4 linked regions of the Caenorhabditis elegans genome follow. The protein of the gene in region 1 purifies or fractionates together with the protein of each later gene. This does not show direct contact. Each region holds a gene or a part of one and is shown on either strand. Other genes may lie near its edges. The genes, in order: prp-8, ddx-23, mog-5 and top-2.

The links.
Region 2: the proteins of prp-8 (region 1) and ddx-23 fractionate together in Caenorhabditis elegans (co-fractionation; one large-scale study listed by BioGRID). This does not show direct contact.
Region 3: the proteins of prp-8 (region 1) and mog-5 fractionate together in Caenorhabditis elegans (co-fractionation; one large-scale study listed by BioGRID). This does not show direct contact.
Region 4: the proteins of prp-8 (region 1) and top-2 fractionate together in Caenorhabditis elegans (co-fractionation; one large-scale study listed by BioGRID). This does not show direct contact.

What each region holds. Positions count from the first base shown.
Region 1 is NC_003281.10:8,162,671-8,167,401, forward strand, and holds the start of prp-8 (Pre-mRNA-splicing factor 8 homolog), read left to right. Parts: upstream 1-1,702; 5' UTR 1,703-1,706; coding exon 1,707-2,536; intron 2,537-2,590; coding exon 2,591-2,828; intron 2,829-2,869; exon of another isoform or gene 2,870-3,002; intron 3,003-3,028; coding exon 3,029-3,248; intron 3,249-3,320; coding exon 3,321-4,065; intron 4,066-4,113; coding exon 4,114-4,731. Other genes in the region: bath-42 (BTB and MATH domain-containing protein 42), read right to left, coding at 1-222, 273-541, 596-656. UniProt on the Caenorhabditis elegans protein: Functions as a scaffold that mediates the ordered assembly of spliceosomal proteins and snRNAs. Required for the assembly of the U4/U6-U5 tri-snRNP complex.
Region 2 is NC_003281.10:5,848,318-5,855,063, reverse strand, and holds ddx-23 (putative ATP-dependent RNA helicase DDX23), read left to right. Parts: upstream 1-1,794; 5' UTR 1,795-1,800; coding exon 1,801-1,872; intron 1,873-1,945; coding exon 1,946-3,523; intron 3,524-3,944; coding exon 3,945-4,200; intron 4,201-4,874; coding exon 4,875-4,961; intron 4,962-5,256; coding exon 5,257-5,333; intron 5,334-5,997; coding exon 5,998-6,120; 3' UTR 6,121-6,226; downstream 6,227-6,746. Other genes in the region: cct-6 (T-complex protein 1 subunit zeta), read left to right, coding at 1-37, 91-806, 853-1,247.
Region 3 is NC_003280.10:5,397,561-5,405,556, forward strand, and holds the start of mog-5 (putative pre-mRNA-splicing factor ATP-dependent RNA helicase mog-5), read left to right. Parts: upstream 1-1,977; 5' UTR 1,978-1,978; coding exon 1,979-2,149; intron 2,150-2,333; coding exon 2,334-2,591; intron 2,592-2,642; coding exon 2,643-3,417; intron 3,418-4,678; coding exon 4,679-6,021; intron 6,022-6,761; coding exon 6,762-7,631; intron 7,632-7,880; coding exon 7,881-7,996. Other genes in the region: fbxl-3 (Putative RNA-binding protein EEED8.10), read right to left, coding at 1-314, 363-444, 502-602, 656-777, 830-930, 987-1,111, 1,260-1,322.
Region 4 is NC_003280.10:11,873,280-11,881,095, forward strand, and holds top-2 (DNA topoisomerase 2 top-2), read left to right. Parts: upstream 1-1,868; 5' UTR 1,869-1,877; coding exon 1,878-1,977; intron 1,978-2,024; coding exon 2,025-2,361; intron 2,362-2,414; coding exon 2,415-3,147; intron 3,148-3,180; exon of another isoform or gene 3,181-3,275; intron 3,276-3,276; exon of another isoform or gene 3,277-3,337; intron 3,338-3,351; exon of another isoform or gene 3,352-3,423; intron 3,424-3,492; coding exon 3,493-3,735; intron 3,736-3,785; coding exon 3,786-6,425; intron 6,426-6,473; coding exon 6,474-6,877; intron 6,878-6,918; coding exon 6,919-7,024; 3' UTR 7,025-7,309; downstream 7,310-7,816. Other genes in the region: npp-3 (Nuclear Pore complex Protein), read right to left, coding at 1-320, 475-679, 729-820, 881-1,232, 1,280-1,414. UniProt on the Caenorhabditis elegans protein: Control of topological states of DNA by transient breakage and subsequent rejoining of DNA strands. Topoisomerase II makes double-strand breaks.

The sequences.
Region 1 (4,731 bases):
AACTGATATTTTTGATCCAGGAGGGAAGTATTCAACTTCACAAATCAAAAAGAGAGTTCCGTCAGATCGAAGTGCCCCAAGCATCTTATCACGCGAAACTTGGAACTTTCCACGCCCTTGTTGGTTTGTGAAATCTTTGGTATCTCTGCATACACTGACTCTTTGATTATTAGCATCGAGAGCATAAATTTGAAATTCTGTCATGATGGGCTCCTCTCCTCTCTGAAAAAGGTTTTTATATTTTATATATAGAAAATATGAATGAAACTTACGGCTAATCCAACTTGTCTCAAGAAAAACGATACATTATTCACATCTTCATCACGCTTTCCATTTGGATACACATGAAGTTCCCAGCAAACTGTTGGCGCATCAGGGACACTAAACATTCTTGAAATAAGATTCGAACCGTTTTTGATTAGTTTCATCAATTTCTCAAATTGTTCGATTTTCCATTCCAATTTTGTAGAAAGTGCCGTCACACGCGTTGCTTGCTTCGAAACTACTTCTAGACGGCGAGGTTGTGGAGGAAGATCGTCAGCTGAAAATGAAAATAATGTTAAACTCTCAAATTAATTGAGCTATTCTCACTAACCTCTGGAACTGATTGTGCGATTAATCTGCTCCGTGGATGACCACGAGGAACGTGAAGACATATTATATTGCGAATAAGTTTTACCTCTGTTGATAAGTTGAGCGAGCAAGAGGTTATTCTGAAAATAAATTCAATTAAAAGAAAGCTATTCCCGATAATCTCGATAAAAATAAAAGAAAATGATTAAATTCAAAAAGACACAACAACTGGGAAACTCCGCGAATGAATTATTTACGAAAAGCAGGAGTTCTTTGTTAGAGTTACGAAATAAGCAATACGATTTTCGAAACCGATCTACGAAAAATTACACATATTAGAAAAGTATTAAAATTACGAAATCGCCGTTTGATATTCGAAAATACTACCTTTTTTTTAAGTTGGACAGTTTTTAAAGTTTTCAAAAGGAGATCTTCATGAACTCGTCTATGAGGAATAAATGTGGTACATTTCAATATAAAATGGGTAACAATGACAGTTTGGAAATAATTTCCTTTTCGAAAAATTGATATTTGTACAAAATTCGGAACAGTTTCGAAAAAATGATATTACCCCAGTCACATGACTTGAAAAAGGAAAAGTTGCAATTCAGAAGCTTTACTCAGATTCTGAGGGCAATAGAAAATGCCAATAAGTTTTCGAAAAATCAATAAATTTTTTCGGGCAGATGTCTTTCCTCGGCGGCGGCGAACGCGAACGCAAATAATGGCTGCCAAGAAGAGGCGGGTCTATTGATCGAAACATTACGCCGAAGAGTGTTTGAATTACCGGGCACCGTAACCTCAAACACCTGCAGATCTAAGTACGACGCTCCACTCGACACAATTGCGCGCGTTGTTTAGATTTAAGGAAATTTAAATTTTACTTTCGAAAATAGAAATTATCGGTTTTTATTCATGATTTTCTGGTTCAGTCTGAATAAATTCCGTTTTTTAATGTAAATTTTGTGCGCTATTAACTGTAATGCACAATTCCAACTATCAATTCATGTGATCTTACAGTCTAAACAAAGACAAATCTCTCTTTCCAGTTTCTCTACAGTAATACTTATTTTTCCTTGCTCGTCAACTCATTGATTAGTTTTAATTCTATTTTTATATAGTGTGTTATAGGTATGGCCAACTACGGCGGTCATCCCCAAACTGAACCACATGCTATCCCGGATTCAATTCTGGAAGAAAAGTCTCGAAAATGGAAACAACTTCAAGGAAAGCGGTATTCGGAGAAAAAGAAGTTTGGAATGTCCGATACGCAGAAAGAAGAAATGCCACCTGAGCACGTCCGAAAAGTTATCAGAGATCATGGTGATATGACTTCTCGCAAATATCGTCATGATAAAAGAGTCTACCTCGGTGCTTTGAAATATATGCCACATGCCGTTTTGAAGCTACTGGAGAACATGCCGATGCCCTGGGAACAAATCAGAGATGTAAAAGTTCTGTATCACATCACCGGTGCGATCACTTTTGTCAACGACATTCCGCGTGTCATCGAGCCGGTCTACATGGCACAATGGGGAACGATGTGGATTATGATGAGAAGAGAAAAACGTGATCGTCGTCATTTCAAGCGAATGAGATTCCCTCCATTTGACGATGAAGAACCGCCTCTCGATTATGCTGATAATATTCTGGATGTCGAGCCTTTAGAGCCAATTCAAATGGAACTAGATCCAGAAGAAGACGGAGCTGTTGCTGAATGGTTCTACGATCACAAGCCTCTTGCAACAACTCGATTTGTGAACGGCCCAACGTACAGAAAATGGGCATTCAGTATTCCACAGATGTCCACATTGTATCGTCTTGCAAATCAGCTGCTTACCGATTTAGTAGATGATAACTACTTCTACTTGTTTGACATGAAAAGTTTCTTCACTGCTAAAGCACTCAACGTTGCAATTCCAGGAGGCCCGAAGTTCGAACCATTGGTAAAAGATTTACATACGTAAGTGAAAAGCTTCCAGTTGTGTTATGACGCATACTATTTTATTATTTTCAGTGATGAAGACTGGAACGAGTTCAATGATATCAATAAAGTTATTATTCGAGCTCCAATTCGTACCGAGTACAGAATTGCATTCCCATTCATGTACAACAATCTGATCAGCTCGCTGCCTGTTCAAGTTTCATGGTATCATACTCCTTCAGTTGTATTTATCAAAACTGAAGACCCAGATCTTCCCGCATTCTACTATGATCCATTGATCAATCCAATCGTTCTCAGCAACTTGAAAGCAGTGAGTTATTTACAAGTTTCAGCAATGTTTTAAAATAAAATGCGGATATTATAAACAGATTCCTATAAATTTACAAGGTAGTCAGTAGCCGAAATTCGCAATATAAATTTTCCATTAAAGGCGAGAAATCATCCTTTTTGTCGGTGATATCTAGAAATAAAACTGGAGACAATTCGTATTGTATGTCAAAACATTTTCAGACTGAAGAAAATCTACCAGAAGGTGAAGAGGAAGACGAGTGGGAGCTGCCTGAAGATGTTCGACCCATTTTTGAAGACGTTCCACTCTACACCGATAACACGGCTAATGGTTTAGCACTTCTATGGGCCCCTCGGCCATTCAATCTTCGATCGGGAAGAACGAGAAGAGCAGTGGATGTACCACTTGTCAAATCGTGGTATAGAGAACATTGTCCAGCAGGTTAGTTTTGTTTCTATTTTTTTCGTTTCGTTTCTCGCATACTAAGCTGAAATAATATATTCAATTTTTCAGGAATGCCCGTGAAAGTTCGTGTTTCTTATCAGAAACTGCTCAAGGTGTTTGTTCTGAACGCTCTCAAACATCGTCCACCGAAGCCCCAGAAGCGTCGTTATCTGTTCCGTTCCTTCAAGGCAACAAAATTCTTCCAAACAACCACCCTGGATTGGGTAGAAGCTGGATTGCAAGTTCTTCGTCAAGGATACAACATGCTCAATTTGCTCATTCACCGAAAGAATCTCAACTATCTTCATCTTGATTACAACTTCAATTTGAAACCAGTTAAAACATTGACAACAAAGGAAAGAAAGAAATCTCGTTTCGGAAATGCATTCCATTTGTGCAGAGAAATCCTTCGTCTCACAAAACTTGTTGTTGATGCCCATGTTCAGTATCGTTTGAACAACGTCGATGCGTACCAACTTGCAGATGGTCTACAATATATCTTTGCTCACGTCGGTCAACTGACCGGAATGTATCGTTACAAGTACAAGCTCATGAGACAAGTCAGAATGTGCAAGGATCTCAAGCATCTCATCTACTATCGTTTCAACACTGGGCCGGTTGGTAAAGGACCTGGATGTGGTTTTTGGGCTCCGGGATGGAGAGTTTGGTTGTTCTTCTTGCGTGGAATCACACCACTGCTCGAGAGATGGCTTGGAAATCTGTTGTCTCGACAATTCGAAGGAAGACATTCAAAGGGAGTGGCCAAGACAGTCACCAAGCAAAGAGTTGAATCTCATTTCGATCTTGAATTACGGTAAGCTTTAAATGGCAAGAAAACGAATTTATTTATTAATATTTTCAGTGCTGCTGTCATGCATGACATTCTGGATATGATGCCGGACGGAATCAAACAAAATAAGGCTCGTGTTATTCTTCAGCATTTGTCAGAGGCGTGGAGATGTTGGAAGGCTAATATTCCATGGAAGGTTCCCGGACTGCCAACTCCAGTTGAAAATATGATTCTACGTTATGTGAAAGCAAAGGCTGATTGGTGGACTAATTCGGCACATTACAACAGAGAACGTGTAAGACGAGGAGCGACAGTAGACAAAACTGTGTGCAAGAAGAACTTGGGTAGATTGACAAGATTATACCTGAAATCAGAGCAAGAAAGACAACACAATTACTTGAAGGACGGACCATATATCTCTGCAGAAGAAGCTGTTGCAATTTACACGACTACAGTACATTGGCTGGAATCAAGAAGATTTTCTCCGATTCCTTTCCCACCACTTTCTTACAAACACGACACAAAACTTCTTATTTTGGCTCTTGAAAGACTGAAGGAAAGTTACAGTGTGAAGAATAGATTGAATCAATCCCAAAGAGAAGAACTGGCTTTAATTGAACAGGCTTATGATAATCCTCACGAAGCTTTGTCTCGTATCAAGAGACACATGCTCACGCAGCGTGCATTCAA
Region 2 (6,746 bases), 2.3 Mb from region 1:
CCAAACTTCATCAGAAACTTGCTGATCACATCACCGAGTAAGAAACAAACAATTAAAAAGTAGTAAAAAACATTATCTTCTTAATTTCAGATGCGTTGTCGACGCCGTTTTGGCAATCCGTCGTGATGGAGAGGAACCAGATCTTCATATGGTTGAAAAGATGGAAATGCACCACGACAGTGATATGGATACCACACTTGTTCGTGGATTAGTTCTCGATCATGGAGCTCGTCACCCAGATATGCCAAGACACGTTAAAGACGCTTACATTCTCACTTGCAACGTTTCTTTGGAATACGAGAAGACTGAAGTCAACTCGGGACTTTTCTACAAGACCGCCAAGGAACGTGAGGCACTTCTCGCTGCCGAACGTGAATTCATTACTCGTCGTGTTCACAAGATTATTGAGTTGAAGAAGAAGGTTATTGATAATTCTCCAGATGGTAAGAATAAGGGATTCGTTGTTATCAACCAGAAAGGAATCGATCCTCCATCTCTTGACTTGCTTGCTTCCGAAGGAATTCTTGCTCTTCGTCGTGCCAAGAGACGTAACATGGAACGTCTTCAGCTGGCCGTCGGAGGAGAAGCCGTCAACTCAGTTGATGATTTGACTCCAGAGGATCTTGGATGGGCTGGACTCGTTTACGAGCATTCCCTTGGAGAAGAGAAATACACGTTTATCGAGGAATGCCGTGCTCCAAAATCTGTGACTCTTCTTATCAAGGGACCAAACAAGCATACCATCACTCAAATCAAGGATGCTATTCATGATGGACTTCGTGCTGTTTTCAACACCATCGTTGACAGTGAGTTTAAATTTTATTAACTTCTGTTCTAGTAACCTATTTTCAGAGGCTGTTCTCCCTGGAGCTGCTGCTTTCGAAATTGCTGCCTACGTGATGTTGAAAAAAGATGTTGAGAACCTGAAGGGACGTGCCAAGCTCGGAGCTGAAGCGTTTGCTCAAGCTCTTCTCGTTATTCCAAAGACACTGGCCGTAAATGGAGGATATGATGCTCAGGAAACACTTGTTAAGCTTATTGAGGAGAAAACCGCCGCTGGACCAGATATCGCCGTTGGACTCGATCTCGAAACCGGAGGAGCTGTCGAGCCACAAGGAATTTGGGACAATGTGACGGTGAAGAAGAACAGTATCTCGTCGGCGACAGTACTTGCATGCAATCTCTTGCTTGTTGATGAAGTGATGCGCGCTGGTATGACCAACTTGAAGCAGCCACAACCAGAATAAATATTAAAATTGTTTTTCTATTCCCCCCAGTGTGTCCGTTTCTATGATCTGTTGCCGTGTTTGATAATATTCCCCATCCCGTTCAACAAGCCCAACTTTACCGTTTGTTTTTATAGCTTTCTTCGAGCGATAATCAACAAAGATCGATCTGTTTTCTTTTTCTTTATTATCCCCCAATTTCTTAAATTTTCATCAAAATTTATTGCTTTTCATTTGAGAATTTGTTGATTTTTTCATGCACGTTCCTTTTTGATTTTGCGCAATAAAGGCTTCTTGCTTTTAATATTATTATGATTGGTTTCCGGTTGTGTATGTGCGCGAAGCTTTATTTCTATAGAAAATTAATATGATATTCGGAGAATTGACATTTTCGAATGTCCCGCTAAGAGAGCGCGGCCTAACAAATACCACCTCGGTCGCGTGTATTATATACGAAAAGGGTGAATGCATTTCTGTAGGTTTATGTTAAAAATTGGTTTTTTTACATTTTCCCATTGTAAAAGCATATTTTTAATTAGTTTTCCAAACATTTAAGTTCTTAAATTCCAGAGAAATGGCTGCTGAACCTCCATCACTTGAGGAACTTCTGGAAAAGAAGAAAAGAGAAGAAGATGAATTGGCAAAGGTATGTATTATTTTTTAATATCTCAAAAAACATCGCATATTTTTTAAAAACCAAACCATTTTCAAATTTTCAGCCAAAATTTCTGTCAAAAGCCGAGCGGGCCGCATTGGCTCTGAAACGAAGAGAAGAGGAGGTCGCAAAACTGCGTGAAACACAAAAACAAGCTGAAGAAGCTCGAAAAAATTGGGGACGCACCGAAAAAACATCAGACGATAGAAGAGATCGTGGACTTGACCGAGGCAATGATCGTGACAGAGACCGTGAACGGGAACGTGATCGTGATCGTCGACGGGATCGTCGGGAGAGAAGTGGTTCTCGAGATAGACGACGAAGGAGCAGGAGCCGTGATCGTGATGGTGGAAGGCGTCGAGATAGAAGTAGAAGTAGAGATAGAAGGGATCGAAATGATGATCGGAAAAGAGATAGAAACGAGGATAGTGATAATGAAGAAGATGTTAGTAAAATGGCAGATGCTGTTAAAGACAGATATCTTGGAAAACAGAAGGAAAAGAAGAAAAGAGGACGGAGACTTCATGAGAAAAAGTTTGTTTTTGATTGGGATGCTGGAGAGGATACATCACAGGATTATAACAAATTATATCAAAGTCGACATGAAATTCAGTTCTTTGGAAGAGGATCTGTTGCTGGAACGGATGTGAATGCTCAGAAAAAAGAGAAGAACTCGTTCTACCAGGAAATGATGGAAAATCGAAGAACTGTTGATGAGAAAGAGCAAGAGATGCATCGCCTTGAAAAAGAACTGAAAAAAGAAAAGAAAGTGGCTCATGATGATCGTCATTGGAGAATGAAAGAACTTTCTGAGATGTCTGACAGAGATTGGCGTATCTTCCGTGAAGATTTCAATATTTCTATTAAAGGAGGCAGAGTTCCACGACCTCTTCGTAATTGGGAAGAAGCTGGATTTCCAGATGAAGTCTACCAAGCTGTCAAAGAAATTGGTTATCTGGAACCTACACCTATTCAGAGACAAGCCATCCCAATTGGTCTTCAGAATCGTGACGTAATCGGTGTAGCTGAAACTGGATCAGGAAAAACTGCAGCTTTCCTTCTACCGCTGCTTGTATGGATCACAAGCCTTCCAAAAATGGAACGACAAGAACATCGGGACTTGGGTCCATATGCTATTATTATGGCTCCAACAAGAGAATTGGCTCAGCAGATTGAAGAGGAAACCAACAAGTTCGGAAAGCTTCTCGGTATCAAGACCGTTTCAGTAATCGGAGGAGCCAGCAGAGAAGATCAAGGAATGAAGCTTCGAATGGGTGTTGAAGTGGTCATTGCAACACCAGGTCGTCTTCTCGATGTTCTGGAAAATCGATATCTTCTCCTGAATCAGTGTACCTATGTGATCCTTGACGAAGCTGATCGAATGCTTGACATGGGATTTGAACCAGATGTTCAGAAGGTTCTGGAGTACATGCCAGATACAAATATGAAGAAAGATACGGATGAATTCGATAATGAAGAAGCTTTGATGAAGGGATTCTCAACAAGAGAGAAATATCGACAAACTGTCATGTTCACAGCTACAATGTCTTCAGCTATCGAAAGACTTGCCAGACAATATCTCAGAAGACCAGCAGTTGTACATATTGGATCTGCTGGAAAGCCTACAGAAAGAGTTGAACAGGTAATTTATTTTATTCTTGGTAGAAAAGAAAAATAATTATGAGAATCGTTTTTCATATTTCGACATTAAGCTGAACTAGAAAAATTACTAGAACTAAGGCAGCTTCCTAAAGTAGCTTCATAAAAGTTGTTAACTAAAATTTGCTAAAAACTAATTAAGAACACCCAAAAAATTGTTTTTTAACTGAAAAAAGTGAAAAATTGTTTGGTTTTTTGTTGGTTTTCTAAAAAATAAAATCAAAAAATTAATTTTTCGTCAAATTACCAAAAAATGCCAAAAAAAAGTCCCATCTCTGGATTGAAACCACGCAGAAAGGGGGAATTCTGTTTTCAGTGTCTTTTTTCAGAGGCTAGTATTTTTTAGTAAGAAATTTCAAAAAAATTTCAAGTTTTTTAAAAATTCCAAAATATTTCGTATTCAGGTAGTCTACATGGTTCCAGAGGATCGTAAACGTAAGAAGCTCGTCGAAGTGCTCGAATCACAATTCCAACCACCGATTATTATTTTTGTCAATCAGAAGAAAGGTGCTGATATGCTCTCAAAAGGTCTTACCAAACTTGGTTTCAAGCCAACAGTTCTTCACGGAGGAAAAGGTCAAGATCAAAGAGAATACGCTCTGCAGGCTCTTAAAGAAGGAACGAGTGATATTCTTGTGGCTACTGATGTTGCTGGAAGAGGTTCGTTTTTTTTTTTGGAAAAAAATTGTTGATTCAAATACTTTTTTCAAGTATATATATACCGTATATTCTCTATTAGAGCGGCGTATCTAATAGTACGGCGTATCTATTAGAGCGGCACCCTAACTGGCTCTTCGAAAATTAGAGCGGCAGTCTCTATTAGTGTGGCACCCCTTTTTTTGGGTGCGAGAGCCACCTCAATTATTCGATTTCTTCGAAGATATTTTTGTTCATTCTTGAATGAATTCATAAATTTTCATTTAAATATTGAATTTTAGTGTCTTTGTGAGGCAAAATTACACAATTTTCACGAATTTTTCCATAAAATATGAGGTTTTATAAGGAAATTTTGAGGTTACTACTCCCAACAGTAGTAACTTCAATATGAAAATTAGTTATCGAAAATTAGTGCGGCAGTATCCAGTAGAACGGCAGTCTCTAATAGAGCGCACGTCGCGAAGGGCCCGGAAATTAGTGCGGCATGCCGCTCTAATAGAGAATATACGGTATATAACGTTTCTTGAAAGTTTCAAACTCTTCTGAATGAAAACCCAAAAATTTGAGATTCCCCTATTTAAAAAAAAAACTAATTGAAGAGGTTTGATTCGAAATGTAACTAAAAAATTATAAATTCAAAGTTTTGAAAATCAAAATAATATCCACTTAATTTTCAGGTATCGACGTCAAAGATGTATCACTGGTACTCAACTACGATATGGCAAAATCAATTGAAGACTATACTCACAGAATTGGTAGAACTGGTATGTTTTTATTCACTTTTTCTGTGGAAATTTTTTGATGAAGTGTAATTTTCTGTTTTGGGAAAATATGAGATTCTTGAGGACATCATTTTTTTAAAATTTATCTCCACATAGTATGATTTATTACAACGGAAAAAAGATAAAGAACAGCGGAGCAGTAAGAAATTATTTAAAGAAAATTTTAAAAAATGAAAAAAAATGCGTAGAAGTTTTCATAAATTTTGAAGCTACTAGCATCTGAAAACTTCCACACTTTTCTTCTTGATCACATATAATAATTTCTTTTAAATTTCAGGTCGAGCTGGTAAACATGGAAAAGCAATCACATTCCTCACACCTGACGATACTGCCGTCTATTTCGACTTGAAGCAGGTAAAAATTGTGACGGAAACCGGACACCAAAAATGATATTGGACCTAAAAATCAAAAAATTTTTGTTTTGATTTTAGGTCGAAAAATAAAAATTGAAATTTGCGAAAAATTAAAGAAGAAACTAAACAAGAAAAACGAAAAATTGAGGACTTTAGTTTAATTTTTATTTTTAAAGAACAATGAAAAAATGAAAATTTTTTAAAGATAAAAAATCCAACAAAAAAAATTTAATTTTTTGTCCAAATATCAACAAAAAAGAAAAGATTTGCATTCGGTTTTCTGAAAGATAATCGATGAAATAAGTAGTTAAAAATGAAAACATCAGTTAATCGTTTCATAAAATATTTAAAAAAAATATTTTAAGCGTTCTTGAACAATTTAGAAAAAAAAAATCCACTTTTGGGTTACTGTAGTTACTGCAAGCGAATTAAAATTACAATGAAAAAAAGAAACAACTCCGAAAAAAATTTATTCGAATAAGGTTAATTCGATGAGATGCCCTTTAATTAAGTCGTTAATGAATGTTTTGAATTTAATTTTCAAAATTTCCGTCTAATTCCAAGATAATCGTTTTTGAAAGTTTTTTTTTTCAAAAGTTTCAAAAGAAAATGTATCACTCAATAAATACTTTTAATAAAAATATTTTAACTCGTATTTTTTCCAGGTTCTGGTCGAATCGCCAGTGTCATCATGCCCACCTGAACTTGCGAATCATCCGGATGCACAGAGTAAGCCTGGAGTGTTTACATCAAAGAAACGACAAGATGAAACATTGTTCTTGAAGTGATAATTCTCTTTTTTGTTTGGAAAATCTCAACATTTATATTTATTTATTCAATTTTTATATGATTGTTCTACCAGATCTGTTAAATAAATACTCCTGACCCCATCATTCCGTTCAAATTTCATTATTAATTCCAGAATAGGAAAATGATCATGAAAAGTTGCTCTCTGTCGGATTTCCAAGAGCACATTATTCGGAGAATGTGTGTTTTAAAGCTAGTCTCGTGGAAAAATTCAAATTAAATGAATTCTCATGTTAGGAAGCAAAATAATTAATTTTTCGATTTTAAGAAACGAAATTGAAAGTTTAAAAATCTGAAATATTTCACTCCACACTGATCATAATTTTTTTAAAATAAAATAAAATAGTATTTTGAAATACGTTTTACTAGTTATTGTGAAAAAAGGAAAACTGAAAATAAATAAATAAATCTTTAAAGGTTGGGTACATGTTAGATAATTATAAAAATAAGAAGTTCGTCGACGTGTTCGAATCGTTTTTCCAAAAAACCTTCGCCAAGGAATAAAACCTAACAAAATCATAATGTTGTCAAAAAAAATGGGCCGACATGCTCTCAAAAGGTCTCGTAAACCTGAAGATCAAATCCACGGTTTTTCACGGAGGAAAGA
Region 3 (7,996 bases), on another chromosome or scaffold:
CTTGTTCTCATTGGTCGTTGCTTGTTGAATACAGTTTCTCTTGCCAATGCAATTTTATTGACAAGTTCCCAGGATTTAATTGATTCTTCCATGAACTTTTTATTAACTCGTTCCAATCGAATTGTTTCGTGAATTGGTAAAAATGAGATGACCCTTCTAAGAATTTTATCCGGGACGTTTCCCAAATTGAATGATTGCTCGGATCCTGAAGCTAACGACTGTGTAGATGAAGCACGGGACAATGGAGTATCTTCACGACTTCCAACATCATCACTGAGCACGAGACCTTTACCTCCACGTTTTTTCGATACATACTACAAGATAAATTGGTTTAAAAATTAAATCCCAAATCAAAAACTTACAGCTGAGACAACCATAACTTGATCATAAAACTTCAACTCTTCAGGATTCGCATTTTTCGCGCGATCAGCATGCTCAGACTTTCTGCAAAAATTGTATTATTAAAAAGACCTGAACAAACCAAAAAAATTTAAATTATACTTAAAAGTAATAGTAGCAGTTCCACAATTTCTGGAATGCTTTGGAAGTGTTCCGAACACTGATGTCTTTTTCTCTTCGCGAGGCAGAATGCAGCTGGTTATCTGGAAATTTAATTTTAAAATTTTATATTTAAATGATAATTAAAACAACACACTTTTCCATATTGAGAAAAGAAGGATTGAAGCTGTGATTGGGTGACTTTAGCAGAAATATTCGAAACCACGATTTTTCGATCATCACGAGAAGTATGTTGGAAAGCGATAGATGCATCGAAATCTGAAAAAAAAAACAATTATTGATTTTTTTTCCAAATTTTAAGATTTATTACCGTCTGTTTCTCCTCCATCAAATGCATCTCCATCGGCGAGTAACATTGGTAAAAGTCGTCGATATTTCATAAACTCTGCGGCAGAGTGGGACCAAGTTCGCCTGAAAATATTTTAATTTTAATTTAGAAAAAACCAGAGCTAAAATGTTGATATTACCTCAATTTTCCAATACTGAAAAACCGTGCCCTTGTGACAAATGACTGAAATGCTTCAGTCATATCATGAAGCCCTCGGCTCTCCAAGTTCTGTCCATGAAGCCGGCGGAGTGCTTTGAACATACTCTGAAAAATTGAAAATGTGTGAAAAAAACGTTTTTTCGAGAGAAAAGATAACAGAACCATATGATTTGATTTGGCTACTGTTCCCTAGTGTTTTCTTATCACATTAACATTTATTTGGTAGACAAAAAATCGAATTGTGTTCTCTAACCTGTTGTGATTTAGCACTTCCAGCGCTCCCGAGGTTCGATGTGAAGCTTCGATTGAAATCCATTTTTTAGGTTTAACTGTTTTCTGAAATTGAAACATTAATAATAAATTTGAAAACAATTTTGATCGATTTTCACTAGTCGTTGTTCGGAGGAGGAATGGCGCATGTTTACCAGTGAGTCGGGTTAGAGATTATACGGAAGTGAAGAGACGCAGAAAACGGGACATTCGGATGCTTGGGGACACATTGGTCACTATGAAACGTTCAAAAGCACCAATTCAAAGAAAATCTAGAAAATTTGCAGTTTTTGAACAGCTTTTAAATTTAAAATCATGCTTTAAAAGACCTTGTTTTTTGTTAACTTTGAAGGCAAAGGGTATTTGCAATAACGATTTTACATTAACACAAACTTATATATCCATTTTTGGAAATACTAAAATAAATTCAAAAAAACACAATGAAACATATTTACAAACGAAATGAAAGCCGGCAGCTTCAATAAAATAAAAAATAATTGTTGAAAAAATATAATTAAAGAAAGCTGCACACTGTGCGGCACAATTGCGAAAAAGCGGGCCGCAGTTTGCATGAAAGACCACGCCCACTATTTTAGATTTCGAATTTGTTTTTTTACTCTAATTTTCTATTGTTCGAGTTTTTCGGAATTAAAACTGCTTTAAAGAATTATTTTATTAAATTTTTTATCTGTAAATTTCAGGATGGACCAGCTTGAGCACCTCTCACTTGTGAGCAAGGTCCTCAGTGAAGTTGAGAACCATTTTGGTGTCGTCGAAAAAGATGTCGCTGAGTTTGTTATTCATTTGGCTCAAGAGAATCCAACATTTGATAAACTGAAAAAGGCTTTGGATAGTCAGGGACTTGGGGATCAGGTATGTTGAAATATGAGAAAATTTAACGACTAAATTATTTTTTTAAAGGAAATTTCAAAATTATTTTAATTCAAGGTGTTTTAAAATATTTTGATGAATATCAAATATCGAGATTTAAAAAAAACATTATTCGTCTCATAAATATAAAAGTCTCGATATTCCTCTCTTTAATTCTAAATTTCAGTTTGATGATTCCCTCACTGCGACCATACTTCGTATAGTACAAAGCATGACTGCTGTTAAAAAGAAAAACAAGAAAGGTGGTGATTCAAAAGAAGATATCAAGGATTCACACAAAATTACATTGATTTCTGATGCAAAAGAAGAAATTAAAGCACGACTTCCAGCTCTAGCGATGGCAAATACTGCGAAAGAAAAGGAAGATAATGAAGATGATCTTATGGCTCAGTTAGAAAAGATGGAAGGCCGATATGAAAGTGAGGTACGTATCTTTGATATTTGAAATTTGTTAAAATAAATTTTCCATTTACAGAAACGTCTTCAAAAGGAATCAGATTCAAAACGAAACCGTTCAAGAAGTCGATCAAGGAGTCGTGATCGAAAACGAAGAAGAAGTCGTAGTGGTGACAGGGATCGTCGGAGACGTAGTAGGAGTCGTGAAGACAGAAGAGATCGAGATAGGAGGGATCGGGACAGAGACAGAGACAGAGGACGTGGGGATCGAAGAGGAGACGACAGACAAAGAGATCGGCGTGATCGACGAGATGATGGTGGTGCTAGAAAATCCGAAGTTGCAGAAATCGGAAAAATCTACGATGGTCGTGTAAACAGTATTCAATCGTTCGGAGCTTTCATCACACTGGAAGGTTTCCGTCAAAAACAAGAAGGACTTGTTCACATCTCCCAAATTCGAAATGAACGAGTTCAAACCGTCGCAGATGTTTTGAAAAGAGGAGAAAATGTCAAAGTTAAAGTTAATAAGATTGAAAATGGAAAAATCTCGTTGTCAATGAAAGAAGTCGATCAGAATAGTGGAGAAGATTTGAATCCACGCGAGACCGACCTGAATCCGGATGCAATCGGAGTTCGTCCACGGACACCGCCAGCATCAACTTCCTCGTGGATGAATCCTGAAGCAAGTGGAGTAGGACAAGGTCCTTCGACCTCAATTGGTGGTGGAAAGGCGAGAGTTCGAATTTCGACACCTGAACGGTGGGAATTAAGACAAATGCAAGGAGCCGGAGTTCTCACAGCCACAGATATGCCTGATTTTGATGAAGAAATGGGAGTTCTAAGAAATTATGATGGTGAGTATTTTATTTATGATCTAGTAATTAATGATAAATTTGAAAAAAAAATTATTTTCTCTTGAAAATCACTAAATTATTTTTGAATTCCGCGCAAATGGTGCTTTATTTTGCTTACCGTATTTCCTCTATTAGTCTTGCACCCCTACGGGTCAATCTAAAATTAGTCTTGCAGCCTCTATTAGTATTGCATGCAAGACTAATAGAGAACATACGGTATTAGTCTTGCACCCCTATTCTTGCCAGACCAGCAGTATTTTGTGAAAACTTCAACAATTTCGCCATTTTATAGCTAAATTAAATTTTAAAGTGTTAAAATAATTGATAAAACAATAGAAAAGTATGTATTTTGCATGATTTAGACTGTTTCAAGTCAAATTTGTGACGATAAATGGCCAATTGAACAAATCTATCGGGTCTTCGAAAATTAGTCTTGCAGCCTCTAATAGTCTTGCAGTCTCTATTAGTCTTGCACCCCTACGGGTCAATCGAAAATTAGTCTTGCATGCAAGACTAATAGAGGAAATACGGTATATGATTTTTTAAAAATAATTTATATTTAAAAAAAAAACTGCAAAATTTTTTTAATTGAAAACAATTTCAATTTCTCTTGAAAATGACTAAAAATGATGTTTTACAGACATTTTTCCTTAAAAATTGACAGTAATTTATCGTTTTTAAGCCGATTTTTTATTTTCAACAAAATTTAAATTTGGTTTTCTTTACTGAAAAATGCCAAAGTATGACAAAAGATGCATCGGAGAATAAATATCGAATTTAGCCTGAAAAATGCGAATACTTTACAATTACGGCAATAATTTTCCCGGGAATTCAAATAAAATTAAAAATTAAGCAAGATTGAAAAAAAAACATGAAAAAAATGATGGTATAAAATTTATGATTTAATAATTTATCAAGAAAAATTGTAAAATTTTTTGAATTAAAACAAATTAATTTTTCCTGAAAATGACTAAATTGTTTTTGAATTCGCGCACGCAGACATTTTTCCTCAAAAATCGACACTAATTTATCGTTTTTAAGACGATTTTTTAGTTTCAACAGACAAGCCAAAATATGACAAAAGTTGCATATATCAAAGGAAAAATTTCGAATTTAGCAGGAAAATGCGAAAAATTACAAGGAAATGATTTTCCCGATAATTCAAAGACAATTTTTAAAAAAGCTAAATTTAAAAAAAAATCATTAAATATTTAAAATAAAGTTTCTATCATTTAAAGCACAACAATTTTTCAATTTTCAGATGAAAGTGATGGCGAGGATATTGAAATCGAGCTTGTCGAAGACGAACCTGACTTTTTACGTGGATATGGAAAAGGCGGTGCAGAAATAGAACCTGTAAAAGTTGTCAAAAATCCGGATGGTTCATTAGCTCAAGCAGCTTTAATGCAAGGTGCTCTTTCAAAAGAACGAAAAGAAACGAAAATTCAAGCACAACGAGAGCGTGATATGGATACACAGAAAGGATTCAGTTCAAATGCTCGAATTCTTGATCCTATGTCTGGAAATCAGTCGACTGCGTGGAGTGCTGATGAGTCAAAGGATCGGAATAATAAAATGAAAGAAATGCCAGAATGGTTGAAACATGTGACAGCTGGTGGAAAAGCGACTTATGGAAGAAGAACCAATTTGAGTATGGTTGAGCAGAGAGAAAGTCTTCCGATCTTTGCGTTGAAAAAGAATCTGATGGAAGCAATGATTGATAATCAAATTCTTGTCGTTGTTGGAGAAACTGGATCAGGAAAGACTACTCAGATGACACAATATGCAATTGAAGCTGGACTTGGAAGACGTGGTAAAATTGGATGTACCCAGCCTCGTCGTGTTGCAGCAATGTCCGTAGCAAAGCGTGTGGCAGAAGAGTACGGTTGTAAGCTGGGAACTGATGTTGGATATACAATTCGTTTCGAAGATTGTACAAGTCAAGATACTATTATCAAGTACATGACGGATGGTATGCTTCTGAGAGAATGTCTTATTGATCCTGATCTTTCTGGATATTCGTTGATTATGCTTGATGAGGCTCACGAACGTACAATTCATACGGATGTCTTGTTTGGATTATTGAAAGCTGCTGCTAGAAAACGTCCGGAACTGAAGCTGATTATCACTAGTGCCACCTTGGATTCAGTTAAATTTTCAGAGTATTTCCTGGAAGCTCCGATCTTTACAATTCCTGGAAGAACATTCCCCGTTGAGATCCTGTACACAAGAGAACCAGAATCAGATTACCTTGAAGCTGCACATATTACTGTAATGCAAATTCATTTGACTGAGCCACCTGGTGATGTTCTTGTGTTTTTGACTGGACAAGAAGAAATTGATACATCGTGTGAAGTTTTATATGAACGAATGAAATCAATGGGACCTGATGTGCCGGAGCTGATTATTCTTCCTGTCTACGGAGCTCTTCCAAGTGAAATGCAAACAAGAATCTTTGATCCAGCTCCTGCCGGAAAGCGAAAAGTTGTTATTGCTACGAATATTGCCGAAACTTCTTTGACAATTGATGGAATTTTCTATGTCGTTGATCCAGGATTTGTGAAACAGAAGATTTACAATCCGAAAAGTGGAATGGATTCCTTGGTAAGCATTTATGCACCCGTCAGGGATTTCACGAAAAAATTCGACCAAAAAACAAGACAAAAAACGAAAAAAAAATTTCAAAAAACACGAAAAGCGGCTAAAAAAACGAAAAAAAAAATCAATTTTTACCAGAAAGTTCAAAAACCAGGAGAACAAGTTTTTTCGAAGACGAAAAACGAAAAAATAATATTTTGCCAAAAACAAAAAAAACTCGGATTTCTTTTTAAAAAAAACTTTTTTTTTTTGGTTTTTGTCTTAAAAAAAACGAAGAAAAAAATCCATTTTTACCAGAGAGACCAAAAACAAGAAAAAAAATTTTGTTCGAAGCGAAACAATTTATTTCGCCAAAAACAGGAAAAAACTGAAATTTTATATTTTTGAAATGTTTGAAACGAAAATTCTTATTATTTCAAGAATAAATATTTGTAGAGTTATATTTAATTTTGAGTGTAATGTTTTGTGAAAAAAAGTGGAATAAATATTTTTTCGCCTTTTTTTAACAAATTTTTTTTCGAAAAAGTGAATCATACATTTTTCGCCTTTTTTCATAAATTTTGATTCGAAAAAAAAGTGAAAAAAAAATGTTTTCACCAGAAACTGAAAATGATGCAATAAAATTCAATATTGTTTGCAATTAGACGAATTAAAATTATTAGCTACTCAAAATAAGATAATTTTTTTCGAGATATTAAAAAACAATTTTCTGATAAATAAGAACGAAAATACAATATAAATTTCAGGTTGTCACCCCAATCTCACAAGCCGCAGCAAAGCAACGATCAGGACGTGCAGGACGTACGGGACCTGGAAAATGCTATCGTCTCTACACAGAACGTGCATTCCGTGATGAGATGCTTCCGACACCTGTTCCAGAAATTCAGCGAACAAATTTGGCGTCAACACTTCTTCAGCTTAAAGCTATGGGAATCAATAATTTGATTGATTTTGATTTCATGGATGCTCCACCTCTGGATTCAATGATTACTGCTCTCAATACACTTCACACGCTTTCAGCACTTGATGGAGATGGTCTTCTCACGAAACTTGGTCGTCGAATGGCTGAATTTCCATTGGAACCATCACTTTCCAAATTGTTGATCATGTCTGTCGATCTGGGATGCTCAGAAGAAGTTCTTACGATTGTGGCAATGCTCAATGTGCAAAACATTTTCTATCGACCTAAAGAAAAACAGGATCATGCTGACCAGAAGAAGGCGAAATTCCATCAACCAGAAGGAGATCATTTGACACTTCTAGCGGTTTACAATTCATGGAAAAACCATCATTTCTCACAACCATGGTGTTTCGAAAATTTCATTCAAGTGAGAAGTATGAAGAGAGCTCAGGACATTCGTAAGCAATTACTCGGAATCATGGATCGTCATAAACTTCTGATGGTCAGTTGTGGACGGGATGTATCGAGAGTTCAGAAGGCTATTTGCTCTGGATTCTTCCGAAATGCTGCAAAACGTGATCCACAGGAAGGATATCGAACATTGACTGATGGACAGAATGTTTATATTCATCCATCATCAGCATGTTTCCAACAACAACCAGAATGGGTTGTATATCATGAACTCGTCATGACAACTAAGGAATATATGAGAGAAGTAAGTTTATTTCAATTTTATATACGGAAAAGTACTGTAGGCGGAAAACACAAAAATGTCGAAACTAGGCCATTATGCTCCCTTTTGAAATATTTTCAAAATTTGAAAAAAAAATACAAAGTTTAGAGAAATTATATACATTTTTAAAATTCATATTTGGCATATGGAGACTTTATTCTTTCATTTAGGGCCAAAAACTATTTAAGTCTAAATAAGAAATTAAATAAAAACCTAATTTTCAATTTCCAGGTCACCGCAATCGATCCAAAATGGCTTGTTGAATTTGCACCGTCATTCTTCAAAATCGGAGATTCTACCAAATTATCAACATTCAAACGAAACCAGAAAATCGATCCGTTGTTCGA
Region 4 (7,816 bases), on another chromosome or scaffold:
CTTCGCGGGGAAATATGAAATCAGCTGTTTCAGAAGCTCATCAATAATCATAAACTGATGGGCATAACGGAAGTGTTCCGACTTGATGATCGCTTGTCGCAAGTAATGAAAAGCCATATTCCGGATAGATCGATCGATGACTCTTTCCACGTCCACCTTGATATTCTCGATCCCTAGATGATCTGATGGCGATGAGGCAATCGATTTCAGAGCAACAGCGCATGCTAGCTGTAGAGTTCCGCACATTGCTTGATCCGACCAGTCTGTTTCATTCCGAATGTGGGCGATCATGTTTGTGAGCACTTGTTGAGCATCGTGAACTGTAAACTCTCAAACAGATTTGTAACTGGATTTTTGGGTATAGGCATGAAGATGGAGTAGCGAGAATTGCTTTAGAAAATCGAAAATATTCTCGAATACAGAAAAACCACAAAAGAAAAACAGAAAAATCGCTACTCCATCTTCAAATATTACCTTGAGACAACACTTCACTCGATGTGATTTTAACGAGAGAAATCCAGGCTGTCAAGCTACTACAACTGAGCTTCTCCGGTGGAACTGCCTTTACAATTTGGAATAAATGATTTGAAATCGAAACTGCGTTTCCTCCCGGAATCTCACAGATCATCGAAATGCAACCAATTACTTCACTTCGAATCTCCTCAATGGCATTTCTGACCTGAAATTAATTTTATGAAAGAATTCCAAAATTATAATCAATTCGGTACCAATTTCTGATGTTTAGAGCCTCCTAAACCGTTGACATCTGGAGATTGAAGTCGTGCAAATTCTGATTGAACGGTGAAATTGATTAGTTGTTCTGAAAATTGGAAAAAAAAATTAGTAATATTTATGATAATATAATTTTTTGAAAACCCACGAAAAAGGTTTTTGATCACGTCCTCGTTGATGAATGTGCTATTGAGGAACTTGCTGATACGTTGAGGAATATCCTCTCGGTCCCATTTTAGCATTTGGCGCATTGTTGCGATTAGGAGCCTGTGCGCATCATAGTAGCAAACGACAGCGATTAATCCTCTGTTGAGGCCTTCGAAATGTATTTTTTGAGCTTCTCCGGCCAAAATCAAATCCACAGCTTCCAGCTCATTTAATTGAAAGATATCCGACAAAATGAGTGCTTCCGAACAGATTTCCTCGTCTAGCGCAACTTCCACTCCTGCCATTTCCACATTTCCTGGCTTCAGCTTTTCCCGATCTTTACCCGTTCGTCTCTTCAATTAGAAAGGTTTATTACACTAACATCAGTCGGAAAACATACCGGATTCAAAAGAATATTGCTCAATCGCCATCTGTATTTCTCGATTTCGTTGAACAGCTCGTTTATTTTTCGGTCGTCATCGAAAGCTGTGAAGGAGACGATGAGTTCGTAAAATTTACGAATCTCAATCCACATTTTGAGCTCTCTAAAATAAATAAAACATTATTTAGAACAAAAAGTTACTTTTTTTGAATTTTTTCGCAAAAAAATTACACAACTTCTATCTCGCAATGCATTTCCGTAAGAGACGCAGACACAAAAACTAAATTTCGTATTTCGAGGCTACAACTACGGTAACACTCGTTTCAGCTGTGTATTTTTCGCGCGTTCGCTGCGAGACCCGACGCTCTTAGGCCGCCAATTTCGAATCGGACGCTCATTTTGGCGCGCTCAGTTGTTTTTTTGTGCGCTCTCTAGCCGGCTGTCTTGCATCGATTCAGTGTTCAGTGTCCAGTGATGTCCACTGGTGTGCTAGTTCTTTTTCTCTTCACTCATTTTTCTTCGCATCCTCAAGTTTATTGAATATTCACCGCGTTTCTTTCTCTCTTTCTCCCGATCGTCCTAAAATTAAATGTCATCTTTTTCCAGATCTCTAACAATGAGCGACTCTGATAGTGAATTCTCTATCGAAGATTCACCCAAGAAGAAAACCGCACCAAAGAAGGAGAAGGCGTCACCGAAGAAAAAGAAAGATGATGGTTGGTTAATTTGTAGAGTTTCTTGAATCTAATTTGCTTCTTTTCAGCCAACGAGTCGATGGTTATGACTGAAGAGGACCGCAATGTGTTCACGTCGATCGACAAAAAAGGTGGTGGCTCGAAACAAATGGCGATCGAGGATATCTACCAAAAGAAGTCCCAACTCGAGCACATTCTTCTTCGCCCGGACACCTACATCGGTTCGGTCGAGCATACCGAGAAGACGCCGATGTGGGTCTACAACATGGAGGAGAGCAAGCTGGAGCAGCGTGACATCTCATACGTGCCGGGACTCTACAAGATTTATGATGAAATTCTTGTGAATGCCGCTGACAACAAACAGAGAGATCCGAAGATGAACACAATCAAGATCACCATCAATAAGTAAGTTTAGACCGTAGCATAAAGGAATTTAATTTAATTTTGCTTTCTTTCAGGGAGAAAAATGAGATCTCTGTCTACAACAATGGCAAAGGAATCCCAGTCACTCAGCACAAAGTGGAGAAAGTCTACGTCCCAGAGCTGATTTTTGGAACTCTTCTAACATCTTCTAACTACAATGACGATGAGAAGAAAGTGACGGGAGGACGCAACGGATATGGAGCAAAGCTTTGCAACATCTTCTCCACAAAATTCACTCTGGAGACGTCTTCACGGGATTACAAAAGTGCATTCAAGCAAACGTGGATCAAAAACATGACGCGTGATGAGGAGCCGAAGATTGTTAAGAGCACCGACGAAGACTTCACGAAGATCACATTCTCGCCGGATCTGGCAAAGTTCAAGATGAAGGAGCTGGACGATGACATCTGCCATTTGATGGCTCGGCGTGCGTATGATGTGGCTGGATCCAGTAAAGGAGTCGCCGTGTTCCTCAATGGAAAACGAATTCCAATCAAAGGATTCGAGGACTACGTCCAAATGTACACTTCGCAGTTCAACAATGAAGGAGAACCCCTCAAGATCGCATACGAGCAAGTTGGAGATCGTTGGCAAGTCGCCTTGGCTCTTTCGGAAAAAGGCTTCCAACAAGTGTCATTTGTCAACAGTATTGCTACCACAAAAGGAGGACGGCACGTGGACTACGTGGCTGATCAGATGGTCGCCAAGTTCATCGACTCGATCAAGCGGAAGCTCACAAAGACGTCGATGAATATCAAGCCATTCCAGGTAAATTTCGTCGAATTTAAAATATTTACCGCCAATGATGACTCAAAATAGCTATATGAACTCTTTGGTGACTCGATAATAAGAGAAATCTGAAAATTTTCAAGGTTTTTCTAGAGATTTCACCGATTCTTTTGAAGTATCGGTGCACCAAGTGAAAAATAAAATTGCGACGCTTTAGTGACGCTGGAGAAAGTTTTTATCCAGTGTCTAAAGGCGCGGCGCAACATTTTTAAACTTTCCGATGATTTGTGATTACTAAAAGGCGAATCTGAGGCGAGGAATTGCTAATGCGAATTCAAATCTAATAAATTTTCCAAATATTCAATTTTATATCAAAATTTTCAGATCAAAAATCACATGTGGGTTTTTGTGAATTGCTTGATCGAAAATCCGACATTCGACTCCCAGACGAAAGAGACTATGACCCTGCAGCAGAAGCAGTTCGGATCGACCTGCGTCCTCAGCGAGAAGTTCTCCAAAGCGGCTTCAAGTGTTGGAATCACCGATGCTGTTATGAGTTGGGTTCGCTTCAAACAAATGGACGACCTCAACAAAAAGTGCTCCAAGACGAAGACTTCCAAGCTGAAGGTAACAATTCATCTAATTCGTGGCCTTGTTTTAATTAATATTTATTTCAGGGCATTCCAAAGCTTGAAGATGCCAACGACGCTGGAACCAAAAATTCCCAACAATGCACATTAATTCTGACGGAGGGAGACTCGGCCAAAACGCTTGCTGTTTCGGGACTTTCAGTCGTTGGACGCGACAAATATGGAGTATTCCCACTTCGAGGAAAATTGCTAAATGTCCGAGAAGGAAATATGAAACAAATCGCCGATAATGCTGAGGTCAATGCCATGATCAAAATTCTGGGACTCCAATACAAGAAGAAGTACGAGACAGAAGATGACTTCAAGACTCTTCGATACGGTAAACTGATGGTCATGGCTGATCAGGATCAAGACGGTTCACACATCAAAGGACTCGTGATCAATTTCATCCATCACTTCTGGCCTTCTCTCATTCAGCGGAACTTCGTAGAAGAATTCATCACTCCAATTGTCAAAGCCACCAAAGGAAAAGAAGAAGTTTCCTTCTATTCGCTCCCAGAATATTCTGAGTGGAGAATGAATACGGATAACTGGAAGTCGTACAAGATCAAGTACTACAAGGGATTGGGTACATCGACTTCTAAGGAAGCTAAGGAATACTTCTTGGACATGGTTCGTCATCGTATCCGCTTCAAGTACAATGGAGCTGATGATGATAACGCTGTCGACATGGCTTTCTCGAAGAAGAAGATTGAAGAGAGAAAAGACTGGCTCTCGAAGTGGATGCGGGAGAAGAAGGACCGAAAGCAGCAGGGACTTGCTGAAGAATATCTCTACAACAAGGACACTCGATTCGTCACCTTCAAAGATTTCGTCAATCGTGAATTGGTCCTCTTCTCGAATCTCGACAACGAGCGTTCAATTCCATGCCTTGTGGATGGTTTCAAGCCAGGACAGCGGAAGGTTCTCTTCGCGTGCTTCAAGAGAGCAGACAAGCGTGAAGTCAAAGTAGCTCAATTGGCTGGAGCTGTCGCTGAAATTTCTGCTTACCATCACGGAGAACAGTCGCTTATGGGAACAATTGTGAATCTCGCTCAAGATTACGTTGGCTCCAACAACATCAACCTGCTTCTTCCAATCGGACAGTTTGGTACTCGTCTCCAAGGTGGAAAGGACAGTGCTTCAGCTCGTTACATCTTCACTCAACTGTCGCCAGTCACTCGTACACTCTTCCCGGCTCACGATGACAATGTCCTTCGTTTCCTTTATGAAGAAAATCAGCGTATTGAGCCAGAATGGTATTGCCCGATTATTCCAATGGTACTCGTCAATGGAGCTCAAGGCATCGGTACTGGATGGTCCACGAACATTCCTAATTACAATCCACGTGAACTGGTCAAGAACATCAAGCGTCTTATCGCCGGCGAGCCACAGAAAGCCTTAGCTCCATGGTACAAGAACTTCCGCGGAAAGATCATTCAAATCGACCCGAGTCGATTTGCATGCTATGGTGAAGTTGCTGTGCTGGATGACAACACCATTGAGATCACCGAGTTGCCAATCAAACAGTGGACTCAAGACTACAAAGAGAAGGTTTTGGAAGGATTGATGGAGAGCTCGGACAAGAAATCGCCTGTTATCGTCGACTACAAAGAGTATCACACAGATACAACTGTCAAGTTCGTCGTGAAGCTCTCGCCGGGAAAACTTCGTGAATTGGAGCGCGGTCAGGATCTTCATCAAGTCTTCAAGCTCCAAGCTGTCATCAACACTACGTGCATGGTACTTTTCGATGCTGCCGGATGTCTTCGTACATACACTTCGCCAGAAGCGATTACTCAAGAGTTCTACGATAGTCGCCAAGAGAAGTACGTACAGAGAAAGGAGTACCTTCTCGGAGTTCTTCAGGCTCAGAGCAAGCGTCTCACTAACCAGGCTCGTTTCATCCTCGCCAAGATCAACAACGAGATTGTTCTCGAGAACAAGAAGAAGGCGGCGATTGTCGATGTTTTGATCAAGATGAAGTTCGATGCTGATCCAGTGAAGAAGTGGAAGGAGGAGCAAAAACTCAAAGAGCTTCGTGAATCTGGAGAGATCGAGCTGGACGAAGATGATCTAGCTGCTGTCGCCGTCGAAGAGGACGAAGCCATTTCCTCTGCTGCGAAGGCCGTTGAAACCAAGCTATCAGACTACGATTACCTTGTCGGAATGGCTCTCATCAAGCTTTCGGAAGAAGAGAAGAATAAGCTCATCAAGGAATCGGAGGAGAAGATGGCTGAGGTTCGAGTTATCGAGAAGAAGACCTGGCAAGATCTTTGGCATGAGGATCTGGACAACTTCGTGTCTGAGTTGGACAAACAGGAGGCTCGCGAGAAAGCTGATCAAGATGCCAGCATCAAAAATGCCGCCAAAAAGCTTGCTGCCGACGCAAAGACCGGACGTGGACCCAAGAAGAATGTGTGCACGGAAGTCCTTCCATCCAAAGATGGACAGCGCATTGAGCCGATGTTGGATGCTGCAACCAAGGCCAAATATGAGAAGATGTCTCAGCCAAAGAAGGAACGCGTCAAGAAAGAGCCAAAGGAGCCGAAAGAACCAAAGAAGGTGAAAAAGGAAGGCCAGGACATTAAAAAGTTCATGTCTCCAGCTGCTCCGAAGACTGCGAAGAAGGAGAAAAGCGACGGCTTCAACTCTGACATGTCAGAGGAAAGTGACGTGGAGTTCGATGTAAGATTTCCTCTGTAATTTCTTCAACTTCTAAAATATTTTTTGCAGGAAGGAATCGATTTCGATTCGGACGATGACGGTGTGGAGCGTGAGGATGTCGTCTCAAAGCCAAAACCTCGTACTGGAAAAGGAGCTGCGAAAGCGGAAGTTATCGATTTGTCAGATGATGATGAAGTTCCTGCAAAGAAGCCTGCTCCAGCGAAGAAAGCTGCTCCGAAGAAGAAAAAGAGCGAGTTCAGCGATCTGTCTGGCGGCGACAGTGATGAAGAAGCTGAGAAGAAGCCGTCCACCAGCAAAAAGCCGTCTCCAAAGAAGGCTGCTCCGAAGACGGCCGAGCCCAAGTCGAAGGCGGTGACCGATTTCTTTGGTGCTTCAAAGAAGAACGGAAAGAAGGCCGCTGGTTCCGATGATGAAGACGACGAAAGCTTCGTTGTGGCTCCAAGAGAGAAGAGGTTAGTTTGAAAATTATTTTTAAAAAATGTAATTATTTCAGCGGAAGAGCTCGCAAGGCGCCACCAACTTACGACGTGGATTCAGGATCCGATTCGGATCAGCCAAAGAAGAAGAGGGGACGCGTCGTCGACTCCGACTCGGATTAAATTAATTTGTTTCCCACCTTCCTTAAGTGTTTCTAATTTATTTTCTTTCCAATCATTTTAAAATCGTTTTAACGATCTCAACCATCCCCATCCTCCCCCAAATCATCCCGTATATTAAGTTTGTATTTTTACATGAGGGAAACTGCTGTAATATAATTATCGCCCTTATGCCTAAATTATTTACCCCTACCTAATTTCACTGTTTTTAAAAGTTATTTTTCTATTTATGTGAGTCTCAAGAATTATTGAGAAGAGTCTTCTTGCAATGAAAATGCCTATATTTCCAAAGCTTCCAACCTATATGCAGGTCTTCATCGTTTGTGTCGCTTGAGAAATGACGATGACAAGTCGTAAACGGTCTGTGTCCTTCTTCGTTGCATCCAACGTCTTGTTCCTACTGTTTTCTATTCCCCTATCGATCACACACTGTGTGTGCGTGTCCTTGGGCCTCTACCGTTTTTGAGGTCGAACATTTTAGACATTCAGGCGAACAATGAGATTTAGAGAGACACATGGAATCGCCTCCCCGGGAGAACTGGAGACTCGAGATGATTTGGTAGTCAGATAAGAAGAATCAATTGTATATTGAAGAAAAATGTAGAAATTAGGGAAACTTTTAAAGATAAAATTTAAAAATAAAATGCATTCGGCGCCAAGCTGAATGTGTCTCTAGTCATAGTCCTTGCTTTGTGGAGGATATTATGACTAACGAGCACATCCAGCGTGGCACATGGTGCATGAGCAGCTGAATACTGGAACGAAATTTGAATAAGTTGATTCTCAGAAGTTTGG